4 linked regions of the Struthio camelus genome follow. The protein of the gene in region 1 interacts with the protein of each later gene in a biochemical or structural test. Links are inferred from orthologs where the notes say so. Each region holds a gene or a part of one and is shown in the gene's direction. Other genes may lie near its edges.

Region 1 (7,997 bases):
TTTTTTTCCAACTCTATCAGCTGATCTAGTAAGAGATATTACCTCTCTGCACCAGCTTTGCCTGCTTACACCCCTGGGCCGTCACACCTACGCAAGACTAGGAAACCAAGCTAATCATAGTGGCCCGCAGCAACCTGCCTGTGGGCCTTGAGCCCTTCTTCATACCTTAAACATACTGTTAACTACACTGCCTGCCACCAATCACCCCCCCACCTTGTGTAATCTGGTTGACTGATGTCACATCTCCCCTTTGGATAACGTGCATTCATAAGGCAGCTGCAGGGGAAGAAGATGGAGATGAAAAGGAAGAAGTGCAGAGATCAAAGGCATAACAGAAAGAGCTTTCTCTGAATTTACTAAACAACCAACTGATGAAGTACCAGTGCACCTTTATACATTTCTGTCTTGCTCCCCAGTGCCCCCTTCCCTCCAATACTACTCACTCCCTTAAAGCCATGCTAAACGTGTAGGGTTTATGCTTTCTGCCCTATGCATTTCATTTTTATGTCTTGCACACCCATTCCTCCTACCTGCTTTCTCAGTTGTCACTGCCATTGCAAAATAGCAGAAGAGACAAAAATCTATACATATCTTTTGCAATATAGACATTTTATGAAACTAGCAATTTCATAGCACCACAACGAATTGTTCATGGATGCGGGACCTTAATGGTACAATCCCATAAACTGGGTAATTTTTCTTGGATAAAAGCAAGCCATATAATTAGAAAAGGGAACTAGTTACTTGTAATGAAAGAATAATCAAATCATCATTAAAAGGAAATTAGCTGCATTTATCTTAATTCTATGGGCCCTACTGTTACCTCCTGAGAGAAAAAGCTTCAGGAGGATAAAATTTACTTGACAGTCTCAGTGACTTTTGCCACTCCTGTTTGTTCATGCATGAGGGCGCCGTTTATTATGTTTTGGCAGAGCAAGTTGCATTTAACTGAGAAAAAGCCATTAAAAGGCTATTTGTTTCCTTTCCTTAAAAAAGGTACACCTCACCTTTCAGGGATTGCATTTGGCTCCATCTGGCTCCCCTGTCCTCCCACTTGCAGCTCACTATTGTTGGGACAGAGCCAGGGAAGAAAGTAAGAGAGGATCTGCGAAGGCTTTGTGTCTAGCTAGAACTGTGCACAGTCTTGCTGAGCAGGAATCCTCTGTGGCTCTCTCCCAGGCTTTGGAGTCACTTCACATGAGGTTCACAGGACCTGCTTAGGACTAGTACTAACATACCTCTACTTTTTATGCTAACAGCATGAAGGGAACTGTTCTGCGTTTAGCCAGCATCCTCCCTCACCCAGAGGCCAAAAGGAGGAAAGGCAATCTATGTGGGTGTGTGTGTGGGGGGGGGTAGAAACACAGATAAAGTAAGCTTGATTCTACTCCCCAGAGCTCTTTCCACTCTTCAGTACCACATGATACAGAAGGAAAGGATGCAGAGAAATACTGTTACGTGCAATAATGTGATACCTGTTTCACCGCAAGAGAGAAGCGGAATCTAACAGTAACTACTGTAGGTATGAGTGAAGAGAAAGTGTCAGTCAAAGGCTCAGATTTTACTCTCAAATGTGAGCAACATTTCCCATGTCCCTCCCATCTCATTTGAGTAATCTGTGGCAGAGACGCAGAGATGCTGAATATCAGCAGGTACACCTGAAGTCAGTGGGATGTGAACTTTCAGTATACATTGAATATTATAAAGTGTTTTCTACTCTGGAATTGAAGGTCTTCCATTTCTCCATATATGTATCTGGAAGTGCTGATATTTTCCATTTCCTGAATGTAAGATAGGATAATACCATCCATTTCATAACCCTGTTACAGAAATAAAGTCATTAATGTTTAGCAGGATGATAGCACTCCTGAAAAGCCTTAAAGGAAATTAATAATTTTAGATTCAATGAAATGTAATGCTGTGCAGGAAACTGTACATTAAAATATACATGCAATAAGCATTAAAAACCATATTAACTAGAAACACAGAATTGTAAAGCTTCTGCAGTTTAGTCTCCTGCTATCTCAGGTGACTACATCACAAAATCCTTCTTATAAGCTGTCCGCCTTCAGAGCAGGTGGGCTTCTTGCCCTCAATAAAAGAAAGCCGTTCCATAACTCCATTGCTCTGAGAAGCCAAGATCTTCTAATTCTAAGCCTAAATTCCTTAATTGACAGTTTATACACATTTGTCTTCAGTTTAAATCACAATTCTCCCACCTTGTTATTTATTGTACTCCTTTTAAGACAACGTAAAATCTCCCTCTTAGCTTTTATATTGCTAAACTAAAGGCAGGAAATTCTTCTAGCCTCCTCTCATAAAAGCTCTCCCAAGAATATCATCCCTACTGTGAGAGAGGGTTCCTCTGGGGAAACTAGCTTATGGCTAGGTCATTAAAGACCATATCACGATGCAGTCTTAAGGCATATAAATCCACAGGACCCAAATCTGAACAAACCTAGACAGCAGCCACAACACCTAATAGGTCTGAAGCCAGACACAGGCCATGCAGCTGACCTGCACATATAAAGCAGACTCGATACGTGCAGGTAAGTCTGGACTCATTGCACAGCTGATATCAAGTCCTCTGTGCCTATGACTTGCTATGCCCAGCATTTCCCAGTTTTTTTATGATGGTCCTGCATCTCTTAATGCAAGCTTACAACGGGTGGGAGAGAGGTGTGAACTAAATTGTATGGCAGACTGTAATTCTAATATTTTCCTAATTTTTGAGGAGGGACAGTGAAGGAAGTAGTCTTGATTAGATCAGCTTTGCCTTTCATTAGGTCAGATTTGCTCCAATAAAATCTACTTATCCATGCTTTGTAGGTGACATTGTTTTATTTCTGATGGAGACGTGACATTAATCAAGAAAGGTTCTGTGCTGCCACTGGTCAGTTTTGATTTAGTGATTTTTTATTACCACTTTCACTTCATATGTGAATGGGGGCGATCATTAGGCACTTAAGTGAAAATATCCTATTGACAAGGAAGAATAAAAAGGCAATGTAAAATTGTAGCAAGTTGCCAGGACAGTAATTTCTGGGATAAGTTATATATTTCCATAAGGCTTTATGACAGAATTTCATTAACTTTGAACAGAGTATTATCAATAGGTCCTTTGCTATAATAGAATAAATGCCCAAACTTACATGGCAAGGACAAATAATGGTTTCTTCACAGCATAGACCTAATTTCCACATATATAATCTCAGTCCTAGTCCAAACAAAGATCAAGAACTTTACAAGCTGAGACAATATCCTGAGGTTGATTCAGAGAATTCATCATCCCATCTGGATGCTGAAGTTGCTGAACATTACTATATTTGGCGATGCTGAAATCAAAGGTGAGAAATTTCGTCACTTCAACACAGAGACTTTGTAGTGCACAGATATTTGTGAACCCAAACTAGCCTAAGGCCTGACAGACAGTATCTGATCCACTCCTGGATTTTGTATGCTGAATGTTGTGGCAAACAACACAAACCCACTATCTCTTTACCACTTCCTCTGAGACTCAGGCAGTATGAGTCTAGAAAAAAATCATGCTAAAGCATGAAGAAGACCATCCAATTAGCGTTTCGAAAAGACAAGCAGCAATAGTTGCCTCACATCTATTAATTCATGGCTGGAAAGCATTTTATTATTCAGTACGTAACAGCACGAACCTAAAATTCTAACCTCTGTCCATTGTATCTCTGACCTCTTGAGAATTAACTCCAGATGAAAGGAAAAAAAGCAAATATATTGACTGTCGCTTGTGCCAAATGCTTGTCTTCCCCTGCCCACGGCCTCACGACCACAGGAATATTACATCTCTAAAATCAACTTTCCTCTCACCCAGACCCTAAGGGCAGAGCACAGTCATGATAGCTTCATATAAACGGCTTCTGAAATCTATCATTGAGAATACTGCATGTCAGGATAAGCGTCTCCAGGGCCAGAGCAACTAACTATTCCTGACAAAAAGAAATTCCTCCAGACTCTACCATTAGGTCGAGAAACAGGGAGGAATGTATGACAGACCTTATTGGTCCTTCCTCCTCTCTGGCCTCAGGAAAACACACCTCATCCTAGACCAGTGGCTCCGAAAGGGCATAACTTCCTTTGTCAGAGACACCCCACTCTCACCCTATCATTATCTTCATTCCTCTGCTGTGAGAGCCCAACACCGGGCTCCGTGTCCTGCAGTCAGGGAGAACTCAAGCCCTGACTGTCCATTTGCCCCGGGGAAAACCGCGCACCTAGCCACGCAAGTGCACGCGGCGAGCGCGGCCCCACCAACGCCGGGAGCCCAACAGCCTCCGTCAACGGCTTCTGCTGCTGCCGACCGCCCAAAAGAGCCGTCCCAAAGCCTCCTGCTCCTCCATCTCCCGAAGCCGGCGCCATCGCCGACCCCCGCGCCCACGTCTGCGCCCCAGCAGCACCGCAGTCTCCGGCACCTCTTCCCCAGGGCCGGCGGGCCCCTCGCCCGCCGCGGCCCTCACGCACCCTGTCAGCGGCGGCGCCGCCGGCCCGGCCCGGCCCCCGCGGGGGCCCAGCGCTGGCCGCAGCGACCTGGAGGCGGAAGAGCAGCCGCGGCCTTTTCGGGAGGCGGAGGGCGCGCGGCCGCGGGGGAAGGGGGGAGGCCCCCGCCTGGCGGCCCCCTGGCAGAGAGCCCCCGCCCCGCCGCGCCCCTCCCACCCGGCAGCGCCCGGACGCTTCCTCCCCTCCCCCCGCGGCGCGCGCCGCGGCCCCTCGCGCCACCACGGCCGCCCCCCTCCCCCCCGCCGCCGCCGCCGCCGCCGCCGCCGCCGCCGCCGCCGCCGCACGAGCCGCCCCGGCCGCGCCCCCGCGCTATCTCGTGCCGCGGCCGAGCCCCGGCTGCCAGGGCGAGGAGGTGGTGCGGCTGGGGGGAGGAGGGGGGCACGCCAGCGGGGGGGGGAAGGGGGGGGTTGTAGCAGCATCACTATGGCGACAGTGACGTCATCTCACCCTGGATCTAATTGGAGGAAACCCCGTGGCCCCAGCCGCAGCCCACGGGCCAACCGAGCTTGTGCCCTGCCTGCGCTCGCCCCCGCGGCGGCGCGCTGTGCTCCGATTGGCTGCCGGGGCGCGAAGGGGCGGGGCCTCGGGCGAAGAAGACGCTCTGATTGGCCGCGTGGGCGCGGGTTGAGCAGCGGGTAGGCTTGCCTGTGCCAACGCCCTTTAGCGCTGGCTCTTGCCTGAGACGGGAGCGGCTCTTTCTCTCCGCCACAGCCCCGAGCGAGGCAGCCGATCCGGTGGCGCCAGCCGGCCCGGCCTAGCGCGCGGACTCAGGTGAGCGGGGCGCCGCGCGCCCGCCGGCGGGAGGGGGCTCCGCGCCACCGCCGCCGCGTCCTCCATTTTGTGAGCGCGGCGTGGAGTCCTCGGCGGCCCCGGGGAGCGGGAGGTGCCGCCAGCCAGCGCCGCCATTTCGCACCCGGCGGGGCCGCCGGCTTCCTCTTTCCGCCCCGCCGCCGCGGGGCCAGCCTCCGGCCGCCTTCGCCTCTCGCCCCGCCACCTCCTCGCCACCCCCCTAACCCCCCCCCCGCTGTCCCTGGGGACGCGGCCGGCCGCGGCGTGGAGCCGCCGGGCCCCCGCCCTCGCCGGGGCCGAGACCCCACCCACTGCCGTGCCACAGCGCTCCCCGCCCGCCCGCCCGGGAATGCGGAGCCGCCGCCGCGCCCCCCGCGGCGCTGGGGGCCGCCGTCCCGGGGCCGGAGTCGCCGCCGCTCCCGCCGCGGCCGGGTGGAGGCGGGGAGGCCCCGGACCCTGCGGCGCTCCCCCGCCCTGTCGCCGCCCGCCGCGCCCCGCCGCCAGGAGGCGAAGCTGCCCGGGGCCGGCCGCCCCGCCGCGCCCGGGCCTCTCCCGGCTCCCTCGGCCTCGCCCGCCCCGCGGGTCTCGTCGAGCGGAGCGGAGCGCGGGAGCCCGAGGAGAGACGGGTCTCCTCGCCGCGCTTCCCGTCCTGCACCTGGCCTGGCGCCCCGGGCCTCCCTCGCTGTTCGCCGGTTTATTTTTAAACCGTTCCTTGGGTTCCTAGGGGCAAACTTATCGCTGGGGTTTTTTTTTTGTTTGTTTGTTTGTTTCTGGGGAGGAGGATTTCTTTTTTTCCTTGCTGGTTCCAATCTCTTGTAATGGCTTTGGCATACCCCCTCCTTTTTCAGTGCTCACCTGCAGGGCAGATGGTGTACAGGGGATGGACTTTGGGCAGGGCTTACTGGTGGCTAGATATCTTTCTCCAGGTTCTTGCTAAGCAGTGTGTTAATTTGTTCACTTGAGGTAAGGAAGGGAAGCAGAGTGAGGACAAAAAGGCAGCTCTGAAAAGATAGCTGTCTCCAGCACTTGGTCTTTAGGCTGCTTCCCTCTGGGTAGAGCTGAGTATGCCTTCCCCAGTTCAGTTTCTAGGTCGCCATTTCCCTAGGGATGGGCCCTTGAGACTGGTGCCTCTCCCCCTAGCTCTGCATGGAGGAGCAGGATGCTGCCAGTCCTTCAATCCAGGAAACGCTCCTGGAGATGAGGAAGAGGATACAAGACTCGCTACAGGCCTAGTTATGAGGAGCAGCATAAGATCATGTTCTGTATCACTTCAACCCAGAGTCATGGTTACTGTCTTCTTTCTGGCAGGTTTTCAGGGCGTTCTCTTCTTGACAGTGTGACATCCCCAGCTTCTCCTGCTTTTGCTACTCTACTGCTCTCACCCCTCTGCCAGCCACCATGGATAAGACCGAGTTGATCCAGAAAGCCAAGCTGGCTGAGCAGGCTGAGCGCTATGATGATATGGCCACCTGCATGAAGGCAGTAACCGAGCAAGGTGCTGAGCTTTCCAACGAGGAGCGCAACCTGCTCTCTGTGGCCTACAAGAACGTAGTGGGTGGGCGGCGCTCTGCCTGGAGGGTCATCTCTAGCATTGAGCAGAAGACAGACACCAGTGACAAGAAGATGCAGCTTATCAAGGACTATCGGGAGAAGGTGGAATCTGAGCTCAGGTCCATCTGCACCACTGTGCTGGTGAGTGGAGTTTCTTTTGCCCTCTCTTTTCTTCTCTTTGAGAGAGAGAAACAGTATTCATGTATGCTGCTGTCCTGAGGAGTAAGACTGTGAACTTGGCTGAGGAACGTCATGCACAATATCATGCTGTGGTAGGGGAAGTCAGTGCAGTAACTTCCGCAACTGTTGTGAGGGTTAGCGTAAGGAGGAAAATCGTCTGCGCTGCTGAGGAGCATGTCTGTGCAAAGGTATTTGAGACCCACAGACAGTGTTACTCCATGTAATTGCAGAGTCGCAGAGGATTTGGTCTCATGTCTGTTTGCACTGCGGTTAGTAAGCTTATCTGTTCATAAGATCAGCGGAAAACAAAATGATACATGAATTTTTTTCTTCAGATGAGACCTAGTACATTGTTAAAAGCATTTAAAGTAACTGGGTGTGTGTTTCTTTCACTTAGTGTTTCTTTGCAAGAAACAAATTCTCCAGAGGTCTTTAAGACATCTTGAAAACTTTCCTTTTACGTAAAAGTGTGAGTTTATAAAGTAAAACATCATCTTCAGTGAGCGTAGAAATAAAGATCTGCAGAAATTGGCTTTGTCATGTTCAAATTGACTTTTCAGTGGATCTTTACAACGAAGTTGCGGTAGTTACAGAATAAGGTAAGACCATGGTTTGAAGACTGACATAATACACCTCAGCAGGTGAAGAAGCCCAGTAATACAGAATTTACTCTGCTATAAGGAGCAGAATTCCAGGTGCTATTAACAGTGAAAGTACACTGTGCTGTGGCAGGGGCTGAACGTGCATCACCTTCTTCTACGTGATCAGGGAGTTCTGGCTGCAGGCAGTTGGATAGGTGTAATGCGCTAAGAATTGTGTGGCAAGTAATCTTTAGTAGCTTATTACACCTCAGTTAAAAATGTATTTTTGGTGTCTGGTATTGCAAACACAAGAAGAAGCAAGTCTACAAGGAAATAAACATTTACTGAGGTAAATGAATCCTGAGTTGG
Region 2 (7,134 bases), on another chromosome or scaffold:
GAGGAGGCGCGAGCGTGAGGCGGCGGCGGCGGCGGCCGGGCCGGGCGGACTCGCCGCCGGTTCCCCCCTTGTCCCCCCCCCTTTCTCCTCTCCCTTCCCCCTCCCCGGCCTCCCCCATGCCGGTGGCTTGGCCCCCCCCCGCCCCCTGAGCGCGGCCCGGGGCTCCCTTCTCCCTCCCGCCCCCCCCCCGCCCCGCTCCACACCGCCCTCCACGGCTTCCCCCTATCGCGATAGTCGCCGGGGGCGGGGGGGGCCGCCATGTCGAGCAGCGGCCGCAGCCCCCTGCCCACCGTCAACGAGAGGGACGCGGAGCAGGTAGGCCGGGGGCCGCGTCCCCTTGGGTGGTGCCCCCTCTCCGGGGGTTTGGGGGCGCGGCGGGCCCCGCTGGGGGGCTCGGGGACCCTCTTGGGGGGGGTAATCTCCGGGGGGGGCGGAGGGAGCCGGGGTCCCCCTGGTTGGGTGCCCTCCCCCGCCAGGGTGCGTTTGGGGGGCAGCTCGCCCTGTGCGCTGGGCGCCCCCCCCCCCAAGGGAAGGGGGCACGAGAGGGGTGCCAGCCCCCCACGTCGGGGACCCCCCTGGGGGCAGGATTTGGGGTGCAGACCACCCCTCCCCTGGTGCAAGGTGGGGTGTGTGGCATGTCCCCCTGGCTTGGGCCCCCCCCTTTTTGTGGCTGTAAGGATGGGGTGTGGGGGCGTGAGCCCCCCCCCAGCTCCGCTGGGGATGTGGGGGAGGGTTGTGGCCCTCCCAACCCAGTGGGGTATGTGGGGGTGGTGTCTCTCCCCCCCCGATTGGTGTGAGAGCCCCCTGCCGTGGGCTGACGAGGGGCTTGGGGGGGGGATTGAGGCCCTCCTGGAGCGGGGTGCGTGGGTGGCAGGACACCCACCCCTAGGGGTGGTGCCTGGTTTGTCCCCCCCCAAAAAAAAGTCTGGGGTAACCCCTTTGTGCTGAGGATGGGGGGGGCTCGGGGGTCTCCCTGGTCTGGGGTAGCCCCTCTGCTTTGGGGTGGGGGGCTTTGGGGTCACCCCTCCGGCTGGGGTGATCTGACTGTGTTGGGGGGGCTGGGGTGCCCCCAGGCTGGGGTGCCCCCTCTGCTGTGAGGTGCAGAGTTTCAGGTGTTCCCAAAACTGGGGTGACCCCCTACATTGAGGCTGGGGGGGTTTGGGATCCCCCCCCAGGTGGAGGCGACCCCTCTGCGTTGAGCCTGGGGGGCTTTGGGGGTCCCCAATACTGGCCTGAGCCCTCTGCGTCAAGCTGGGGGCTTTGGGCCCCCCCCGGGCTGGCGCGACCCCTCTGCGTTGAGCCTGGGGGGCTTTGGGGGTCCCCAATACTGGCCTGAGCCCTCTGCGTCAAGCTGGGGGCTTTGGGCCCCCCCCGGGCTGGCGCGACCCCTCTGCGTTGAGGCTGGGAGGGGTTTGGGGGTCCCCAAAACTGGGGAGACCCCCCTGCGTTGATACCGGGGGTGCGTTTCACCCCTTTTACTGGTTTGAGGGGTGCCTGCCTGGTGTCTGTCCGCGGTTTGGGGTGTTTCTCCTTGATAAATACGTTTTGGGGGACATCCTTGGTCTGTGGGTCCCCGTTTTCTGGCTCAGGGTGCCTGGGGGGGGGTGTCTGCGTAGCATCGTTCTGAGGCTCCTCCCTCACGGGAGGATTTTGGGGTCCCCTCATCCTTCCCCCGGCGTGCGGCAGCCCCCCGGTCGGCCGCCGTTTGGGGGCGGTTTGGCTGCTCCCCGCTGTTCTGCCGTGCCGGGTTCGGGGGCCGCGTCTGGGCCCAGGAGCCGGCGCCGCGCTCCCGCGACGGCAGGAGGGAGCGGGCGCATCCCGGCTCCCCGACGGGATCCAGAGGGACCCGTGGCGGGCGCAGACCAGGTACCGGCGCTCCCCCTCCGTCCGGTAACGCCGCTTCCTCGCCGTGGGGAAGGCGAGGGCCCGGCGTCGACGCCGCGAGGGACCCGACCCTTTTCCGCGTGTTTTATCGCTGCGCGGGAGACGGCGGTGGGAAAACCGACGTTGGCTGTTCGTCGGCCCGGGAACGTTGAGGGGGGGGAAAAACCCCTCCGCGCCGGGCGCTACAGCGTCTGCAGCGCCGCGCGGCCGGGCCAGGACGACCCTGCTCCGGCGTCGGACCTCGTCGGCAGAGCACGTTTGGAGGCGTTTCTTTTCCTGCTGGGGCGGGTTATATAATGGCGGCGGGTAATTATTCACGGCTTCGTTCCCGCGCTGTCGCTGTCGGGAGCGCGGAGGATCCGCCGAGGGGGCGGCTGGCTGCCGGGCCCCCGGCACCCAGGACGGCGCGGAGGGCGCAGCCGCGTTCCCAAATGGCTTCCGAGCCGGCTAAATGGCTCCTTTCCCCGCTCCCAGGACGGCGCGTAGAGACGCGTCGCGAGCCCGGCCGGGCCGGCGGCGGCGGCAGCGCTCCTGCGGGCAGCGACGTTTCTCTCTCCCTCTTCTTCCTCCTTTCGGAGACCTCGAAATCGGGGAGTCTTCCTCCGTTCCTGCAAAGCGCTCGCATCACATGGGTTTGATCTGGCGTTCTTATAAAAAAAAAAAAAAAAAACTTCAAAATAACTAAATTTGGCTGACATTTAAGCACGATTGATCTAAAGCTGTTTCATGATCTCTCTTCAGCTGCCTCGATTTTAAACTGCTGGAGGAGAAAAATAAGGCTTATGTTCCCCTCGTCCCCGCGCGGATGGCGAGAGCGGGGCTCTGCCTCTGCTGCCAACCAGCTCGCCGTTCCTCGAGAAATGCTCTTTTCCCTTCCCTTTCCCCTCTTCCCTCTGGTTTTTATTTATTCTTTTTCATTTTCCTCTTGCGAGTGGAATATTGTGGTGCATAATATGGAAAGACAAATGCAGGGCCGAATTCAGAGCCAAGATTTCTGTCATCTGCTTCCGTTAAACCCTTGTTTCGCCGATAATCCGGATTCCTGCCAAACCGCCGGCGTTCTCGCGGCGGCAGCGCGGAGAGGAGCCGCCGACACGGCTGGGCTCCTCGAGAGCGCGAGGAGCTCGCGCCGCCGTCGCCCTCTTTCTCCTCGCTGGTTCCTCGGGCTCCTTTTCCTTAAGGTGCGGATAAATCCCGGGCGGAGGTAGGAGCCTCATCCGGGCAGCGCGGTGAACTCGGCTCCGGTCTTTGGGATGCCGCCGGCGTCTGCCTTGAGCCGAAAAGCCGGCGGGGAGGAGGGGGCAGCCAGCGGCGCCGGGCTGAGCGCGAGAGCCCCGAGCGCTCAAGGTAGGCGCAGCCCCGCTGAGGTTAACAGATAAATTGCGAAACTTCCTGTTTTCTCTGGTTTATCTCGAAACGCCGCGGAGGAACCTCACGGGTGAGGGGCGTAGGCGCCGGGCGTCAAAGCCCTGCGGCCCTCGCGCCCTTCCGCTCCGGCCGGAAGCCGCTCGCGCCGCGCGGGAGCCCCGCTCGCTTGGCATCTCGTCGTCCCGCAGAAACGGGGCTCTCCCCGGCGCGTCCTCGGCTCTGTTTGGAGGCTCTCCGCAGAAAGTCGGGCCTCCGGCATGCGTCGCCCCACCGGGACCTCGGGCTCTTCTTTCGCGTTGTTGGAATCGGGATCTTTAGGCCCGATTTTAGGGCTTCGGCACGTTAACGCCGCAGCGGCGCGGCCCCGGCTCCCGCCCGGGGAAGCCCTTTTCCCTCCCCGCTGCCAGGAAAAGCCGTCGAAAGCCAGGTGAGGCGGCGCGCTGGCTTTGCCGGCCACGTGCATCCCCCCTCCCTGAGTCCGAACGCCACGGTTCGCCCGTGCGGGGAGGCACACGTGGATTTGCTTCCCCCCCCCCGGATTTCAGAGCTGCGAGCGGGAGGTGTTTCTCCCGCTTGGTGCCGGAGGGGAAGAAAATGCCGAGCCGGCGGCGAGCGCCTTCCTGGAAGAATGAGGCCACAAGGCCGCGTGGCTTCATCTACTGACCTAGTGCCGTCCCCGCCGGGAAGCGCCTTTCCCGCAGCGATCCCGGGCGGTTTGAGGCCGAACGGTGCGAGCCGGTCGCCGGGGGGGGGGGGGGCAGGGACGCGGGAGCCCTGCAGCCGCCGCCTTGGACAAGCAAGGCAGGTCCTGCCCGTCCCCGCCGGGAGCCGCCCGCGCGGCTTCAAATACGTCGGGGTTTTTTCGGGGAGGGTTCTCTTATTCCTGGCGTTTCGGATGATCGGACCGCCGGGGTGGCGGAGGGAGCTCCTGCCGGGCCGGGAGACGTGGTGGGGGGGAGCCCCGGGAGGCCGCCCGGATCGGGGTAGCGTTGGCCGAACCGGTCGAGCCGGTCTTGGGAACGGCTGGCTGGCGTTCCCGGGCCAGTCAGCACTTGGGAGAGTTCGGATCTCTCCCAGGCGCCTGGGGAACGTCCTCCTCCTCCTCCTCCTCTTCCTCCTCCGGAGCGGCGGCGCGGGGCAGGCACCGCCTCGCCCAGCTTGGCTCCCGCGGGGCCGACGGCCGGAGCCGCCGAGCCGGCAGGCAGACCGGGGTCGACTCAGCCGATCCGCCCGGGGCCGGCGAGCGCCGGAGCGCGTGAGTCCCCCTTCGCCGGCGCTTCCCGAGCCGGCGTCGCGGGCGGGGGGAGGCCGGTCGGGGCGAGGGGTGGCGGGCGGATCGCCTCCCGGGCGAGCCGCTTCCGCCGCGGCCCCTCCGGGGAGAGGGGGGTCCGGGAGCCTCCTGGGGCGTCGCTCGCTCGGAGCGATCTCCTCGGGATCGTTTCTGGCGGGGAGGGAGGAGTTGGGGCTCCGAATTGGTCCCGGGGGGCGGCCGCTCCGATGCCGGGCGGAAGGAGCGGTTCGGGCGCCGGGCGAAGCCTGCTCCGCCGAGGTACGAGCCGCGCAGGCGGGTGGGCGGCCGCGAGTTGCCCGTGCGGGGCCCAAATTGAAGGGGAAAACCCTCCCTAGCCGCCCGTGTCGGCGCCCCCCGTCGGCGGGGCTGGGCGGGTCTCCGTTGGCGTTGCTGAGGATTCCCTCCCCGTTTTCCGGCTTTCCGTAACCAAAACTCACAGGCAGGTATTTTTGGTTAAGGCGGGGCAGGTGGGTCGCGCCTGCTCGGCCGCCCGAAACGGCCACGGGGCGTTTACGAGGGGGAAAGGGCCGGTCGCTCCGGCGTTCCCAGGGAGAGCTCGCCTCCGCTGGGGCGGCGCGAAGGTCTCCCCGCTCCGCCGGCGCTCGCCTCCCTCCGCCTTTGAACTCGCCTCCTTCCCTCCGCGGCCGGGAGGGAGACGGACCGGCTCCCTCGGCGCCGGGCCAAGGATCGGGCCTGTTTTATCCGCCGGGAGACGGAGGTGAAAACGCCCGGCGCGATCGCAGCGCCGTCGGTGCTCTTCCGGCCCTCGGCGTGGCACCTCTAGGAGAGGGATCGGACCGGGAAATCTCGCCGCGCTTGGGAGCGCGCGCTGGCCGGAGGGCTTCCTCCGGCGCCCGTCTCTCCGTAGCTCAAGCCGTAGGAAGGCGCCCGAGCCGAGGACTTGACGAGACTGGAGGGTTGGGATGCGCCCGGATCTGCGGACCGTCCGCAGCGAAGGGGAGCGCGGCCCCTCGCGCTTCGGGGCCGGGAGCCGCACGAGGCCGCCCGCGCCCTTGGGGGCTGCCTCGGGTTTTGTTCCTTTTCCCCGAAATTCCCCGGGCGGGTTTCGGGGATGCGGGAACGGGGCTGGGGACGTCCCGAGTGACGTCCCGCCTGGGAGAGGCCGCGGGCCCCGCGTCCGAAACCCGAACCTCTCCCCGGGCCCGCCACCCTGCGCGGCGCTTTTCCGGCTGCGACGAAAATAGCCGCCGCTGAGGGGGAGCGCGGCGTTCCTGGGGCGCCGCTGCGGCCCCGGCGACGCGTTTCTCCTTCCCGGAGGCAGGTAGAGCTGTTCTGTTTGTGCAGCGGGTTTTTCCCCCCCCTCCTCCTTCCAGTAACTCCGTTTTTTCTGCAGCCGGAGTGGCTGTTCACGGTGGCAGAGATAATCTCAACAGCGTCTTTGTAACGGAGACTCCTCCTCGCCCTGCCTGGCACCAGCCGGGTGTCTGAAGAGCAACAGTCGTCTCAAGTACTTTTTCCCCCCCCCTTGTTCCCCTGAGCGACCGAAGCCCGGCAGATCCCCGCGGAGCCGCGGGACGGAGGCAGGAGCTCGGCCCCAGCCGCCGTGACTCCCCCGCCGAAACACGGGCAGCGGCGGCTTGGCGCGGGGCCGCTCCGGCTGCGCTCGCCCTTGGCTGCCGCCGGAGACGAGCCGGGTAACCCCTGCGCAGCGCCGGGATGCTCCGGGCGGCCCCCGAGGTTCCCCCTTTCCTCGGAGGCGGCACCGAGCGGGAGCCGGATGGGTCGGAGGCCGCGCTCGGGCGGCGCGGGAGTTGGCGGGGCTCGTCCGGAAGGAGGCCTGTTCGGCTGCGCTCCCTCTTTCGTCCCCTTTCCCTCCTGGAGAGGGAGGATGTGGGGAAACCACGTGGCTGGAAAGCCGCCGGCGTGCGGGGTCGGGGCGGTGGCGGCGGAGGGGACGGGGTGAGGGCGCCCCGGCGGCCGCGGAGGGACGAGGGCTGCCGGCAGGAATTATTCGAGCGTCGCGGGAGGCATTATTTGAGCCCGGCACCCTGCGCCGGGCGAGCCGCGGCCCGGAGTCGCGTTAAACCCCCGCGCCGGGGTGCCGGCGGGGTCTGCAGCGGCTGCAGAGAGGCTTTGGGCTGTCTTTTTCTTTCTTCTTGCAAGCGGGAGGTAGGAAGACGCGCGGGATCTGGCAGGGTCGTGATTTCCTCCGCCGCTCTCCCGAGCGGAGGTGGGTCCCTCCACGGGGCGGCGGATCGCTGTCGCAGCCCGACAGGGACGCCCCGGCCCGCTGCTCCGGGAGATCCCAGCCTCCCGGAGAACAGGCGGCGGCGGCGGCCCGTTATCGCTGCCACGGGGAGACGGGGCCCGAAAACCGCGGTGGCGGCAGCTCTGGGCTGGTGCGGGCTCGAGCCAGCGACGACCTCGGTACCTGCAGCGTCGGGCCGAGTCCAGGCGCTCCTTCCTCGCCCGCTGCTCCGGGTTGCCGCCCCCGCGGGCCGGGAGCGCTCGAATCTGGCCTGATTTGGGGGTGGGAGCCGCCGCGCGGGCGGGCGGGCGGCAGCGAGCGCCGGTTGGAAAAGCCTCGTCGCCTGGCAGAGGCTCGACGCGGGCCGCGATAAGGCCTCGGG
Region 3 (7,762 bases), on another chromosome or scaffold:
ATAAGCAGTAGGGGTGATGTATTTTGACTGACAAGGGTTTTGACAGTCTTATAAGCAGTTCTCGTATGCAAACAGCAAACCAGGCTAGGAAGAAAATAGTATAAAATGGACATAAAACTGATTGTGTAATAATATCCAAAAGAGTATGGTTGTGTCAAAATGAAAAGACATATTGAATGGAATTCCACAGGAGTCTGTCCTTCATCCAGTTCTGTTTGATTCTTTACTAATGACTTGAATGATTATTATCAAATTTTCCTATCAAATTTATGGATTATACCGAAAGGAGATGGACTGAAAGTGCAGTGGAAACATTTGTGATTAGAATTCAAATGATCTAAACAAATTGGTGTAAAGGTCTGGAAAAATAGGATGAGATTCTATAAAGATTTGTGCAATGTAGTATGCTTATGCAGGAATAATCAACTACAGATATACCCAAATGGTTTCAAAATAATTACTTAACAGGAAGAGATCTGGAGTTTAGAATGGACTACAGTGTGAACACAAGTCGATATGTCAAGAAGCCAGACTGTTTAAAAAAATGGCAGTGGAATGCCTTATCCATGCACTAAGCCTAAAGCTGTGTGGTTCAGGAGCGTCTGAGATGAGAGAAGGCTTGGAAACAAAAAAAAAAATTGTAGTGGTAGAATTCAAATATGGGAATCAGTCTGATTCAGCAACAGTGTCCTTGCCCACTTTAACATAAGATCTGTTGTTGGAGGCTAAGGAGGTAAATTTTCAAGGATAAAAAGCAGTTGCAGTTGTTATCTTCAGCAGTGGCTTGAAGAACTCCCTCTTCATCAGTAGGCTCTTGTTTTGTTTGGAACAGCCTATGGAGTCCAGCAGAGGCAAACAAATGGAGCTGACAAAAGGAACAAAGGGTCCATGCTAACTCAGTTTCTTCCTAGACAGAAAATGCCTTATTTCTTAGGTAGAAAAGATGCACTTCTTTCAGGGGAGGAAGGAAGATGACTTTCTCTACATCTGTACATGTGTGCTGTCAAAGTAAAAAAAAATCTGCCTGGTTTTTTGGAGCCCACTGAGAACATAACTCATTCTCACAGTTAAAATTTGTGGTGTATTTCCGGTCTCGCTTTCTGTCTGGCTTCTAGAAATTGTTTCTTCTTACTCCTTTCTCTGCTTTAAACTTGCTCTTTTCTCCTTGCCTAGATACACTATACTATCAGGTAACCTATTTTTCAAATATTGATCCCAGAACAGGGCGTGATATTCCACTATCTGTCTCACAAGTCCAATAGTAATCATCTCATAGTATTACCTTTGCTCTACTCCCTATGGAAACATCTCAAGACTAAATTTTAGGTCAGCTACATTGACCTAAAAACTAACCAGTCTGTCGGTCTGGCTATGTCCAAGGCAGTTGCCTTATAGAATATTTTCCATTCTTTAGGTATGTCCTGGTTTACTCTTTCAGGTGTTTGTTCTTAGATTTTTTTTAATTAGCACATATGCACCATATAATTACTTGTGCTAAAGAGCAGAAAGATAAATGGATAGCTGACTGGTCAAAAGCACCAGTTACATCACAGATGGAGAAGAGCAGAAATCTAGCAGTAAGACCTTCATGAAGGGAATGGTTCTTATTCCGAGGGGATAGAACAGAATTCCATCTATACAGTGTAGTAAGCTGAAAGAAAAGGAGAAAGATAACAACTTCAGAAAGGCCTCTAAGTGGAACCGGATGGAGGTCAAGCATACAGTCGATGAGAACCTATAAAGCACAATATTCATCTTTCATGCTGCAGTAATACAGAGTAGTTAGAAATAATATTACAGCAACATAGCTTGGAATTAAGCACCTGGTTGTGTGATACACGTGTGCAAGAAAAGCAGTCCCATTCCAAGAAATGCTGACATCATGTCCAGTTTAATGTGCATATGCTGCAAACAGGTAAGGCTCTGTACCTTGCGAGTAGCTGGGACAAGCCTTCATAAGTTGATCTTACAGTGGCACTGTCTCCTGACTGCCCTTCCCCTGTGCGTACCTGGATGCATAAACTGTGCAGCCATGTGTGGTAAACTCATTTTACTTCTGTATATTCTTGTGGGAGTTCATGTACTGCTTAGCTAATCTGTGCAGTGAAACCCAAAATTCTAGAGGTTTCCAAGGACCAACTGTGCATGCACAGAAAGGCTCAACCAGGCATGCACATTGTATCAGGTCACATGGAAGAGAACAGACTGTGGTAGATGGTTTTTTCTCCTCCTTCACATCAGAGCAATAATTCTCCCATCTGGAAAGATAATGAAATAGAGGATGTTTCAGTCAGTACAACAGGTCAGGTTGTATTCAGGATCACATCATCTGATTTCACGAAATCTTTTTTTTTATAAATAGCATTTGACACAAATAGCATTGCTGACACAATGTTGAAGAAGGCCTGCCCATATCTATTTTGATTACAAATATGCATTCAACATGTCAGATGCACCTATCAAATAATGCAGCAACCTACAACTTTTTGAAAATACAATAACCTTGCCTGGCGAAGATAGCCCTGTAACTCTGTCCACACAATTGAGTATGTGGATCTGTGGGTGCATAATGACCCTATGAGCTATATAATTAAATTTCACATAGATAAGAAAAACAAGGATGTATCACTGTCAGCCTTGCTACTGTGTAATAATTTGCTGGGGAATGTTAGCTGTGATGCTGGTGACTTGCCTACTCTGTCCACATCTCCTCTCCAGTTATTTTAGAGCAGCAGAAAAGCTGTAACTCTGCACAGTAACTAAGGCCCTGGCTGCGTCTTATTTTCTGCTCTTCCCCTTGAAAGCCGAAGTCATCATGTGAATCATGTTGTGAAACGCTCAGTTATGTGATCCCATAATTAAATACAGCAAGGGCAGGAAAAGGGGGACAGCTCACTGCCCCATTACCATCAGAACTACATCTGCTTTTGTCCCAATGAGCTCTAAGGAAGAGGCACTCTGAAAGTAGCTGGTGACACTTCACTGTATTGAGGGAGCACCTGGACAGTGAAGCAGTGCTGTAGGATCTTCTAGTATGCTTCTTCCAACAGCTGAGAAGTGGATGGCCTTGAAACTGCGATGTCCAGAAAAACTTTCTTCCAGTTACATGAGGTGGCTCTGGCCTTGTATTTGTATTTGAACTTGAGAGCGCCATTCAGGGATGGCACTTTGACCTCACGTGTTCTTCCTGCTATAGATTCACACACAGATGGATCTCACAGTCCTCCCATGCTCACTGCTATACAGAGTAGCTGGCTGAGCCACAGGATGGTGAGAAGCCTGCAGTAGTTATAATGCCTGGGCAGTTTTAGATCTGGGAGCATGAATATACATGCACCAAAAAATCCAAGCACCAAAATATCCAGTACATGCAGAACTGTTAGGAAACTGCCTCTCACAATGGTAACCAGTGTAGCTGGGGTACAGTACTGAAAGCGTTAATACCTAAGGAAACAGTGTAGACAACAGCAACACTAGGTATGATTTTCAACAGCAAAACCAAAGGGTGTGGTTGAAAATACTTATGACTCCTAAGGTAATAAGAAAAGCTACTAAGTGGGACTAACTATCATCTCAATCTAGCACGCTGACATTTTCATCAGACTTGGTATTTTGTAGAGGACACAGATTAAAATTAACAGTTTAAAAAGAAAACTTGCTGAAGAATAAACTGGGTCCAAAACTATATAGACAATAAGGGTGGCAAATCCCAGGTGTGAAATAAACATGCCACAGCAAATTGTGACCCAATAAAACATATGATGGCAAAGAAATAACATTGTTACTGTACATTTAGTCAAAAAAGTACTTTGTAAAAAAACCAAGTAAATGTGGGATCAACCTCTACGTACAAACACACATTTACAACTGCCATCCTTACAGGTGCCATATGAAAAACTCAAGAGTTTCTCCTTTGGTATCTAAGGTATTCACAATTCCTTTTTCCCCAATCATTTGACAGATTACCAAGTGGAGATTAGCATTTTTTTTTGATTAAATGTCACCTGCCACCACATTGTTTGTGCATATGGATGGGACTTGCGCTGATCCTGAAAGTTGGGAAGAATAACTCATCCTGGTTTTAGATGGCAGGGAGCTCCTTCTCAGCACAGCCCATTATGTGAAACTGGAAGCTGCTTACAGAAGATACAGGTGCAAGTTTTTCCCCCCATCTCTTCCCGCAGATAGCCCTGACGGGGGCTCCTGGAGGAGGTGCCGGTCGAGGAGAAGGAGCCGGGGATGGGCAGAAGCTCCCACTCCCACGCAAATCTCCCCACCGTCGCCCAGGCTCGGCTGCTGCCACCCAGCCCTGAGGAGCCCACCGCACTGCCTCGAAGCGAGGGAAAATCCGCAGCTTCCTCAGGCTCTGCCTCCACCTGCCACCAGCTGCGGCCGGGGCGGGCGCAGGGGACGGGGAAACGGGGATGAAGGCGGCTTTGAAGGTCTCACACAACGGAGGGTGACGGGCAATGGGGGGGGGGGGGCGCCGCTGCTCCGGGCAGGCTGTGCCCTCCTAGTGACCGGGGCGGGAGCGGGGGGGGCCGGGGCGCGGGCGGCCAGTCCCGCGGGCGCCGATGGGGCGGGTGGAGGCGGCGGCGTCCTCGCGCGGGGGCACCCGCCGGCAAGGGGCGATTTCAGCGCTGCCGCCCGTGGGGACGCGGCCGCCGTGTGGTGGCGGAGCGGCGCGGCACGGCACGGCACGGCAGACGGCCCGGCCCGGCTGGCCTCGGCGGAGGGCGCGGCCCGGCCCGCCCCCGCGCCGCGCACAGCGCCAACAGCCGGAGCGGCGGCAGCACCTCGCCGGCGCTGGGCCGGGCTCCCCCCCCCCGCCTTCACCGCTCTGCGCGTCTCTCGCCGCCTTTTCCTGTCTGCATCCTCCCCGGTCCTCCCCCTCGCCCCCCCCCCGCCATTTTCGCCCGGGAGGAGCTCGGCGGGACTTCCCTGAAACTTCGCGGGGAGCTCGCCCGGCGCCTCTGGGGCGGCCGCAAACTTTTCACCGCGGTGCCCGCGTCTCTCTCCCTGCCTCCCCCGCGGCGGCTCCGGCGGGAAGTTTTCGATGAGCGCCCCTCCGCTGATCCGGCCGCCCAGCCCTCTGCCGCCGCCGGCGGGGGCTGCTCCCGGCGGCGGCGGCGGCGTCGCCTTCCACCTCCAGATCGGGCTGAGCCGCGAGCCGGTGCTGCTGCTGCAGGACTCCTCGGGCGACCTCAGCCTTGCCCACGTCCGGGAAATGGCTTGCTCCATTGTCGACCAGAAGGTAAGAAGAAATCCCCAGTTTGAGCTCCGTGCCCTCCCCCCCCCCCCCGCCGCTCCGGCAGCCCCTCTGCCCGCGGGCGCTGCTCTTGGCTGTGAACTTTCCTCTCCCTGGCGACTCAGCTCCGGGGCTACGGAGACCGATCGCAGCTTTGCCGTGGCTCCCCTCCTCTGCTGCCTGCCCCCCTGCCCTCTCCCCCTGCCCTGCCCCGCCGCCCGGTCCCGCTGCCGAGGAGGCTCCGTGCGGGATGCTGGCAGGAGACTTTGGGTTTTATTTTGTTGGCAAGGGATGCAGTTACTGTATTAATAGCTGTTATTAAAAACAACCCCCAGCCGGATCTATCTGCCTGCTTTTTACTGCTTCGGAAGGCGGGGGGTGGCGGGGGGGGGGTAGAAACCTGTCAGCTGCGATGGCAGCGCGGCGCCCTGGGGCAGTTCATATGTTGTCCCAGCCTCTGCTGGGAGAGGAAACTTTCCACTTAAAAAAAAAAAAGAAAACAACAACACCAACAAGGAAAATCCAGCCCCGACAGCCCAGGATTCACAGCGGCGTGCGGCGCTCCGCACCCTTTCCCCCTTGCCGGGCTGCCCGGTGCCCCCCGCGCCCCGCCGTGACGCTCGCCCCGGGCGCGGAGCTGGGGGCGGCCCCCGGGGGGCAACGCCGAGGCTTGTGCGAGCTGGGGGGGGGGGGAGGGGAGTCGCACCGCAACGCCCCCGCCTCCTGCTCCGCCGCCGGCCGCTGCCAGCAGCCCCCCGCGGGGCTGGGCGAGCCCGGCCGCGGGGCGCGCAGCGGCCGCGGGGGGTCTGCGGAAGCGGCCGCAGCCCCGCGAGCCGGCAGGTGGCCTCGGCGCAGGGGGGGCGGGAGGCACCGCCTGGTGCTGCGGCCGCCGGGCCCGGCCGGGGGGCGGCGCGGGGTGCAGCGCCCGGCATTTACCTTGCTGCTCCTCCGAAATTGTAGCATCACGGGACAGAGTTAGCCAGAAGTCTCGCGCCACTCGGGGAACACCCTAAAACCCATTGCACTTGGATCTGCCCTGCAACGCCGCTACTCTTTGTCCTTTCGAGTTTCTGTGCCTCAACAATCATGTTGAATGTTAACAGTTTTACTGCACTACTGTGTGTTGTCTGAAAGACCCACGTAGAAGTATCACAATGATTTTTTTAAGGGCTAAAAAGTAAAACTGCCAGATATTCAGGTTAGTTATAATGGGAAATTTTTTTTAACTGCTTGTTTTTTACTGAGGTAAGATTTAGGGGGAAAAAAAAAGTCCAAAATTAAGTTGGTAGTTTTGCTCTGGGTTTGTTTTTACTCTGTCATCTAAACCTCACTACAGAGGGTGAACTTTCCCTTTTTTCACAACTAATGACATGTTTTCAAAATGGTATGAAATATGCAGCTTCATTTTTAAAATTCTATATTTTTCTTAGTTTAAGAAAGGGTTAACTGCTTTATTAAGTTAAATTCTGAAGAAAGACATGCCCGCAGTTTAACATTACTGTATTTGCTTTCAAAGCCCAGACGAAACTTGTTGCTTGCTCACACAGAAGTTATGCACAAGATATATGCTTTTAATAGGTATATAAGTTGTTTATAAGTTTATATATAACTTTCTATATATGGTTTATAATGGTTATGTATAGTTTATATATATAACTGTTTATCAGCTATTATATTAGCAGTAATGTAAATATGCTAAGATTGTTGCATTCATTGTTTATATTTTTGTGCTTGAGTAGCATATACGTTTCATGGGTTTATAATGTGCCTGAGTCTAATCTTTTGTATTTCCTAACAATTTCCTATTTTCCTAACAGTGTAGCGTTGGCTAAAGAAAAATAAATGTGTTGGCTTCTCATCCAAGAGTCAGACTTGATTAAGTAAGCACTGACATAAAAAATTTGAACAGCTTAATTTGTTGTAGCTTACAGACTGTCTTTTTTTGAAAGACATAATCTTTTAGGTGCTTTTCTACAGAGTATACTTGAATGAGGAGCTCTCTTCTAGTCACAGACTGTCACAGCCCAAATTACTGCCTTTGGGAAGAAAGAGGTTTAAGGAAAGGGAAAATGGAAAGAAAGATAGGCTTTTTTTCAGATGGTGGCCTATACCTCCCTCTATTCTGCAGATTAATTTGTATGTTATTAATCCTGAGAAACTTTGTTTTAAGCTTAAATCTGCAAGTATGTATGTATATATAATTTCACTAACATGCATCACTTCACTACACGTAATAGGACTGTGTATATGTACAAAGTTACTCTATGTATTGGCAGAGACCTTATTTTAAAAAAAAGTACATAGGTATCTAGGACCATTATGAGGTAACTCTTTTCATATCTTATAGATTAATATTTTTCTCTTTTCCTGAAATGATTTAAAGTATTGCTTACCCTTGATATTATGAAAATACTGGTTTGCTTGTGTCAATTACGAAGGAGTATGTACTGTAGTGTGATCTTTAGATAAAATACTTATTATTTTCAAGTTTCCTCGAAGTGATGAAATGGGTAG
Region 4 (7,903 bases), on another chromosome or scaffold:
GGCTGACCCCAGCATCCGGGGGGCTGACCCCAGCTCCGACCCCAGCACCCGGGGGGCTCCCACCCCAGCATCCGGGGGGCTGACCCCAGCTCCGACCCTAGCATCCGTGGGGCTGACCTCAACACCCGGGGGGCTGACCCCAGCTCCAACCCCAGCATCCGTGGGGCTGACCCCAGCATCCGGGGGGCTGACCCCAGCTTCGACCCCAGCATCCGGGGGGCTGACCCCAGCATCCATGGGGCTGACCCCAGCATCCGGGGGGCTGACCCCAGCTCTGACCCCAGCATCCATGGGGCTGACCCCAGCATCCGGGGGGCTGGCCCCAGCATCCGTGGGGCTGACCCCAGCTTCGACCCCAGCATCCGGGGGGCTGGCCCCAGCATCCGTGGGGCTGACCCCAGCTTCGACCCCAGCATCCGTGGGGCTGACCCCAGCATCCGGGGGGCTGACCCCAGCTTCGACCCCAGCATCCATGGGGCTGACCCCAGCATCCGGGGGGCTGACCCCAGCTTCGACCCCAGCATCCGTGGGGTTGACCCCAGCATCCATGGGGCTGACCCCAGCATCCGTGGGGCTGACCCCAGCTTCGACCCCAGCATCCGTGGGGTTGACCCCAGCATCCATGGGGCTGACCCCGGCATGCAGGGGGGCTGACCCCAGCTTCGACCCCAGCATCCGTGGGGTTGACCCCAGCATCCATGGGGCTGACCCCAGCATGCAGGGGGGCTGACCCTGGCGCCAATCCCAGCATCCGGGGGGCTCCGACCCCAGCATCCGTGGGGCTGTCCCCAGCTCTGACCCCAGCATCTGTGGGGCCAGCTCCAGCATCTGTGGGGCTGACCCCAACCGTGCACCCCCCTTGCCCCCCCAGCCCTGCACCCCTCCCACTCTGCTCCCTGCCGCGCACCCCCTAACTGCGCACCCCCCACGCCTCCCCCCAGCCACGTGCTCCTCCCCACTGCAGCCCCCGGCTGAGCGCTCCCCCTTCGGGTACCGCCCTGGCTGCGTACCCCGCTCAGGCCCTACACCCAGAGTGCTGTGCACCCCCCCCAGCCCTGCACCCCGCTGCATGCACCCCCAGCCAGCACCCCGCATGCACCCCCAGTCATACTCCCCCAGCCCCCCCATGCACCCCCAGCTCTGCACCCCCCAGGCTAGTCCCCCTATGCACCCCTAGTCATGCCCCCCGGCTGTGCACCCCCAGGCCAGTCCCCATGCCCCCCCAGTCATGCCCCCCCAGCCCCCCCATGCACCCCCAGCTCTGCATCCCCCAGGCTAGCCCCCCTATGCACCCCTAGTCATGCCCCCCGGCTGTGCACCCCCAGGCCAGTCCCCATGCCCCCCCAGTCATGCCCCCCCAGCCCCCCCATGCACCCCCAGCTCTGCATCCCCCAGGCTAGCCCCCCTATGCACACCCAGTCATGCCCCCCGGCTGTGCACCCCCAGGCCAGTCCCCATGCCCCCCCAGTCATGCCCCCCACCTCCCCATGCACCCCCAGCCCTGCACCCCGCTGCATGCACCCCCAGCCAGCACCCCCAGTCATGCCCCCCCAGCCCCTCCATGCACCCCCAGCTCTGCATCCCCCAGGCTAGCCCCCCTATGCACCCCAGTCATGCCCCCCAGCTGTGCACCCCCAGGCCAGTCCCCATGCCCCCCCAGTCATGCCCCGCCAGCCCCCCCATGCACCCCCAGCTCTGCATCCCCCAGGCTAGCCCCCCTATGCACACCCAGTCATGCCCCCCGGCTGTGCACCCCCAGGCCAGTCCCCATGCCCCCCCAGTCATGCCCCCCACCTCCCCATGCACCCCCAGCCCTGCACCCCGCTGCATGCACCCCCAGCCAGCACCCCCAGTCATGCCCCGCCAGCCCCCCCATGCACCCCCAGCTCTGCATCCCCCAGGCTAGCCCCCCTATGCACACCCAGTCATGCCCCCCAGCTGTGCACCCCCAGGCCAGTCCCCATGCACCCCCAGTCATGCCCCCCCAGCCCCCCCATGCACCCCCAGCTCTGCACCCCCCAGGCTAGCCCCCCTATGCACACCCAGTCATGCCCCCCAGCTGTGCACCCCCAGGCCAGTCCCCATGCACCCCCAGTCATGCCCCCCCAGCCCCCCCATGCACCCCCAGCTCTGCATCCCCCAGGCTAGCCCCCCTATGCACACCCAGTCATGCCCCCCAGCTGTGCACCCCCAGGCCAGTCCCCATGCACCCCCAGTCATGCCCCGCCAGCCCCCTCATGCACCCCCAGCTCTGCATCCCCCAGGCTAGCCCCCCTATGCACCCCAGTCATGCCCCCCAGCTGTGCACCCCCAGGCCAGTCCCCATGCCCCCCCAGTCATGCCCCCCCAGCCCCCCCATGCACCCCCAGCTCTGCATCCCCCAGGCTAGCCCCCCTATGCACCCCAGTCATGCCCCCCAGCTGTGCACCCCCAGGCCAGTCCCCATGCACCCCCAGTCATGCCCCCGCATGCCAGCCCCCATGCACCCCCCAGTCATGACCCCCCAGCCCCCTATGCACCCCCAGCTGTGCACCCCCCAGGCCAGCCCCCCCATTCCCCCCCAGCCCCTCATGCTCCCCAGTCATGCACCCCCAGGCCAGCCCCCTATGTCCCCCGACCTTCCCCCCCAGCTCCCCATGCCCCCTCAGCTCTGCACCCCTAGTCTAGCCCCCCCATGCCCCCCAGCTGTGCACCCCTAGCTCCCCATGCCCCCCAGCCCAGCCCCCCATGTCCCCGGCCATGCCCCCCGACCCCCCATGCCCCTCCAGCCCCCCCATGCCCCCAGCCGTGCTCCTCTAGCCACCATGCCCCCCTAGCTCCCAGTCCAGCCCCCCCAGCCGTTCCCCTCTGGCCGAGCCCCTGCAGCCCCCCCAGCCGTGCACCCCCAGCCCCCCCGGCCGTGCACCCCCAGTCCAGGCCCCCCAGGCTCCCAGCTGTCCTCCCCTAGCCCCCCAGCCCCCCAGCCGTGCACCCCCAGTCCAGGCCCCCCAGGCTCCCAGCTGTCCTCCCCTAGCCCCCCAGCCCCCCCAGCTCCGCACCCCCAGTCCAGGCCCCCCCTTGCTCCCAGCTGTGCTCCCCTTGCCCCCCAGCCGTGCACCCCCAGCCCCCCCAGCCATGCACCCCCAGTCCAGACCCCCATGCCCCCAGCTGTGCACCCCTAGCCCCCCATGCCCCCCAAGCTGGACACCCCCAGCCATGCCCATGCTCCCCCAGCTCTGCACCCCCAGCCGTGCTCCTGCAGTCCAGGCCCCCCATGCCCCCAGCCATCCTCCCCTAGCCCCCCAGCCCTCCAGCCATGCCCCCCCAGCCCCCCATGCCCCCCCAGCTGTGCATCCCCAGTCCAGTCCAGTCCCCCCATGCCCCCAGCTGTGCACCCCTAGCCCCCCATGCCCCCCAAGCTGGACACCCCCAGCCATGCCCATGCTCCCCCAGCTCTGCACCCCCAGCCGTGCTCCTGCAGTCCAGGCCCCCCATGCCCCCAGCCATCCTCCCCTAGCCCCCCAGCCCTCCAGCCATGCCCCCCCAGCCCCCCATGCCCCCCCAGCTGTGCATCCCCAGTCCAGTCCAGTCCCCCCATGCCCCCAGCTGTCCTCCCCTAGCCTCCCCATGCCCCCCTGGACGTGCCCCTCAGCCTCGGCCCCCCCCGTCCCCCCAGCCGTGCCCCCTCGGCCCCCCATGCCCCCCCAGCCGTGCACCCCCAGTCCAACCCCCACTGCCCCCCCCAGCCGTGAACCCCCAGGCCAGCCCCCCCATGCCCCCCCAGCCGTGCACCTCCAGTCCAACCCCCCCGGCCCCCCCAGCTGTGCAACCCCAGTCCAACCCCCCCTGCCCCCCAGCCATGCACCTCCAGCCCCCCATGCCCCCCCAGCCGTCCACCCCCAGTCCAACCCCCCATGCCCCCGCAGCCGTGCACCCCCAGCCCCATGCCCCCCCAGCCGTCCTCCCCTAGCCCCCCCCGCGCCCCCAGCCGTGCACCCCCAGTCCAACCCCCCCGGGCCCCCAGCTGTGCAACCCCAGTCCAACCCCCCCTGCCCCCCAGCCGTGCACCCCCAGCCCCCCATGCCCCCCCAGCCGTCTTCCCCTAGCCCCCCCGCTCCCCCAGCCGTGCACCCCCAGCCCCCCATGCCCCCCCAGCCGTCCTCCCCTAGCCCCCCCGCTCCCCCAGCCGTGCACCCCCAGCCCCCCATGCCCCCCAGCCGTGCACCCCCAGCCGTCCTCCCCTAGCCCCCCCGCTCCCCCAGCCGTGCACCCCCAGCCCCCCATGCCCCCCAGCCGTGCACCCCCAGCCCCATGCCCCCCCAGCCGTCCTCCCCTAGCCCCCCCGCTCCCCCAGCCGTGCACCCCCAGCCCCCCATGCCCCCCCAGCCGTCCTCCCCTAGCCCCCCCGCTCCCCCAGCCGTCCTCCCCCAGTCCAACCCCCGATGCCCCCCAGCCGTGCACCCCTAGCCCCCCCGCTCCTCCAGCCGTGCACCCCCAGTCCAACCCCCCATGCCCCCCAGCCGCGCACCCCCAGCCGTCCTCCCCTAGCCCCCCCGCTCCCCCAGCCGTGCACCCCCAGTCCAACCCCCCCGGCCTCCCCCCCCGGCCCCGGGCCCCCGCCGGCCAGCCGGCTGCCCCCGCCCCGCGCGGGGCCGGGCTTTGGGGCCGGGCGCCATTGGCTGCCGCCTCGCCGCCTCCCTTGTTATTTTTCGAATATAAATAGGGGCGGCGGCGGCGGCGGCCCCGCTGCTCCCCGCCCGGGAGCCCCGCGCCGCTGCCGCCCGCCGGGCCGCGGGTTCGCGCCCCGCCGCCCCCCATGCCGCCGCCCCGCCGCCGCCGCTGCTGCTGAGCCCGGCCTCCGCCGCAAGCCCCGCTGCTTTTATTTTTTTTTTTTAATTTTTAATTTTTTTTGCACCCCCCCCCCCCGGCATGGCCGCGCCGGGCCCCGGGCGCAGCCCCCGCCGGCCCTGCGGGCTGCCCGGGCTGGCGGCGCTGCTGGCCCCGGAGCCGGCCGGCATGTCGCCGGTGACCACGCTGGCCCTGGACATGGACAACCTCACGGGCCTGGGCAGGTGAGTGTGTGGCCGTCGGGGGGGGGGGCTGTCGGGGCTGTTCCCCCCCCCATCCCCTGAGCCTGGCTGAGTGGCAGCGGTGCTTTCCCATGTTGGGTGAAGGAGGGGTGCTGAGCCCTGAGGCCCCGGTGAGGGCCACAGCTCTTCTGAGCCGGCTCTGCCCTTGAGCCCTCATCTGCTCCCACCACCACCCACGATCTCGGCTCCCATCAGGAAAGCCCATGGCATCCCTGTGGATGTGGGCTCGCTCCTGCCCTCCATCTGGGGTTCTTGAGCAATTCTGGTCTGCTCGGGATAAAGCAGCACGGTGGGGAAATGGGGCAGAGCTCCAGAGCCGTAAGGGATGTGTGTGTCCCCCCCTGAGCTGCCACATCCTCTCCCCTTCCCGCAGCCACTGTGACACCCCCAAGAGAAGGATTCTGGGCATGTCCTTCCAGAGCGACTGGTCCAGGCTGTCGCAGGACTCGGTGGCCTCGGACTCGTCCCAGGACTCCGTCTCCTCCGAGTCCTCGGATGCGGGTGAGTGCCGGACCCCCCGTCCCGTGGCAGGGCTGGGACCCTGGCTCTCGCTCCCCGAAAGCTGGGGCTGCCTGGGGGATGCTGCACCGTGGGGCGCAGGATGCGGGTGCTGCCTCTACCCGGCTCCCCGTTAGCTCGGGGGGGGGTGGGCAGGGGCTTTCGAGGAGGCCCGGGGGCCGCGGAGCACGTGGGAGCCCCTCGGAGGAAGGGCTGCCTGCAGCTCCCTGGCTCCGGCCTCGGCTCTGAGTCACTCCTGAATTTTAAACAGGCCCGCGCTGCTGACGGAGGCCCGGCCTCTGCAGTTCCTGTTTCGGAAACTTCCTCTTGAGAGACTCCTTTTGGTTTTGTCCTCTTCCCTTCTGGGAAGAGCGTGCGAAAGCCCTTCCCGGTGCCTGGGCTGCTGGCTCTGGGCCTGGGTCTGCGGGAGGCTCTGGTTCGCATGCGGGTGCTGCGCTGTTCCCCGGGGTGCCCTGCCTGGGCTGGCAGGATCCTGCTTAACGTGGGGTCCCTGGTTGCAGCTGGGGTGGGGGAGGCGGCCCAGCATGGGGGTGATGCTGGGGCGGCCCGGCCGGGTGCCGTTCCCGGGATCGGCCCCATCCTGCTGTACGGGGGGGGCCTTGGCTTCCCGCAAAGCCCCCGGCGCCCTGATGAGCCGGTGACGGCACCCAGCAGGTCGCAGCGCGCGGGGGCTGAGCGATGCTCTCGCCCTGCCTCTCCGCCGAACGAGGGGAAGGCGCCCGCCTTGCACCCCGCGCTCCTCCGGCCGCTCATCTCGGCCCCTTATTCCCGCAGGAGTGGGGTTGGATTCCCCGACGCAGGAGGACCCCGAGGCGCTTGAAGACGTGTAAGTGTCTCTGGGGCTGTTCGCGAACCCGGCCGAAAGCGGCTCCCCACCCCGGGCTTCCTGCCTCACCCTCCCCTCTCACGCTATCTGCCCTCCCGGCCGTGGCACCCTCCGCCCCACCCCGAGGCGGCTGCCAGTCCCCGCAGCCGGGCTGCTTCCTGCTGCAGCCCGACCTGCCTGCGGTGCAGGTTGAACCAGGCTCTGGCCAGGTTTTCGGTTGTGGCACGGCTCAGCTTCCTTGCTGCAGCTGGGGCCGGCTGCGGATGCTGCTGGGGGCAACTGGGAGTCATGAGGGGCCAGTGGCCATGGGCCGTGGCAGAGGGGACACGGGTGGCTGGGATGCACAGAGCAGTGAGGAAGGTTAAGGCAGTGGTGATGCCCAGCAAGCGCTGTCTAAGATTTCATCAGCTTCGTGCAGGAGCATGTCTCAAACTGTGCCCTGCTTCCCCCCACCCGCACCCACCCACCTACTTATCACCTGCAGCTCCGTTTCCTGCAGGTTGAGAAACCGCCCGGTGCTGGGGACAGCGGGGACATGCCGATCCCTTGCACAATGCTGGCACCATAAACCTGGGTGCGGGCAGCGCTGGTGCAAACCCAGAGCTGCTGCGGCATCCACGCAGCAGCGCCCGGGGCGCGGGAGAGCGGGGCCGTGGCAGGTTGCGCGGGGGTCAGACCCAGAGCCAAGTGCTCAGCAGTGCTGTCTGGGGGTGCTGGGGGGCTCCTGCTGCCTGCCCCCCCCCCCCGCCAGCCCCTGCGATCGCTGCACCCGCGGGGCCGCCGCCACCTCCCCTTCCCCCTTGCACCTGCTCTGGCTGTTTGCAAAGGCTTTTCCCAACAGATGTTCCCTGGGAGAATGAGTAACTGGGGGCAGATGGCCGTGGCGGGGACGCGGTGGTGGCTTGGGGGGGGCCAGCCGGCATTCCTGTGCTCCCACAGCAGCTGGCCAGCGCTGTCCCAGGGCGCCGAGGCTGCACCCGCGGCCCCGGGGGGGCTCCGGCGTGGGGCACCGGCTCCTCCAGCCCCGGCACGCTGCTCCGGCGCTGCTGCCGGGACCATATGGCTGCCGAGCGGCTGCATCCCCCCCCCGCAGCTGCGTCCTTCCCCCTCCCTGTGCTGCTGATTTACATACAGGTGGAGAGCAGGGGCCGGCGGGCTGCTGCGGCCCCTCTGCTCTCGCGCCGGCTTTGTCTCGGCGCTCCAGCTCAGAGCTGGGTTGGTGGGGGGCTGCGGGACCCCCCCCCCCCAGCAGGGTGCAGCCCCCTCCGGATGCATCCTGCCCGGGCTGTGGCTTGAGCCACCTGCACCCTGATGGGGCCCCCGTTTGCTGGGGGCAGAGGAGTGAGGGCAGAGTGCTGGCCCTAGTGGGGTGACCTCAGGGGTCCCCCCCATCCCAGCCTGCTGGTTGGGGGTGCAGACCCCTCTCCCATGTGCATGGCAGTGGGTGTTGGGAGAGGCTGCAGGGCACCTCGCTGTCACTCCTCTGCTT

The links.
Region 2: the proteins of YWHAQ (region 1) and MARK2 form a complex in vitro, tested with the Homo sapiens proteins (2 studies listed by BioGRID, with this or other methods). The link is inferred for Struthio camelus from reciprocal best matches to the Homo sapiens genes YWHAQ and MARK2.
Region 3: the proteins of YWHAQ (region 1) and PRKD1 form a complex in vitro, tested with the Homo sapiens proteins (2 studies listed by BioGRID). The link is inferred for Struthio camelus from reciprocal best matches to the Homo sapiens genes YWHAQ and PRKD1.
Region 4: the proteins of YWHAQ (region 1) and CDC25B form a complex in vitro, tested with the Homo sapiens proteins (2 studies listed by BioGRID). The link is inferred for Struthio camelus from reciprocal best matches to the Homo sapiens genes YWHAQ and CDC25B.

Annotation. Positions count from the first base shown.
Region 1 is NC_090944.1:24,949,901-24,957,897, forward strand, and holds the start of YWHAQ (14-3-3 protein theta), read left to right. Parts: upstream 1-4,983; 5' UTR 4,984-5,298; intron 5,299-6,624; 5' UTR 6,625-6,714; coding exon 6,715-7,008; intron 7,009-7,997. UniProt on the Homo sapiens protein: Adapter protein implicated in the regulation of a large spectrum of both general and specialized signaling pathways. Binds to a large number of partners, usually by recognition of a phosphoserine or phosphothreonine motif.
Region 2 is NC_090976.1:1,145,996-1,153,129, reverse strand, and holds the start of MARK2 (serine/threonine-protein kinase MARK2), read left to right. Parts: upstream 1-4,132; 5' UTR 4,133-4,147; coding exon 4,148-4,507; intron 4,508-7,134. UniProt on the Homo sapiens protein: Serine/threonine-protein kinase. Involved in cell polarity and microtubule dynamics regulation. Phosphorylates CRTC2/TORC2, DCX, HDAC7, KIF13B, MAP2, MAP4 and RAB11FIP2. Phosphorylates the microtubule-associated protein MAPT/TAU.
Region 3 is NC_090946.1:52,818,242-52,826,003, reverse strand, and holds the start of PRKD1 (serine/threonine-protein kinase D1), read left to right. Parts: upstream 1-4,761; 5' UTR 4,762-5,056; coding exon 5,057-5,254; intron 5,255-7,762.
Region 4 is NC_090945.1:87,092,490-87,100,392, forward strand, and holds the start of CDC25B (M-phase inducer phosphatase 2), read left to right. Parts: upstream 1-4,893; 5' UTR 4,894-4,908; coding exon 4,909-5,051; intron 5,052-5,442; coding exon 5,443-5,570; intron 5,571-6,362; coding exon 6,363-6,414; intron 6,415-7,903. UniProt on the Homo sapiens protein: Tyrosine protein phosphatase which functions as a dosage-dependent inducer of mitotic progression. Directly dephosphorylates CDK1 and stimulates its kinase activity.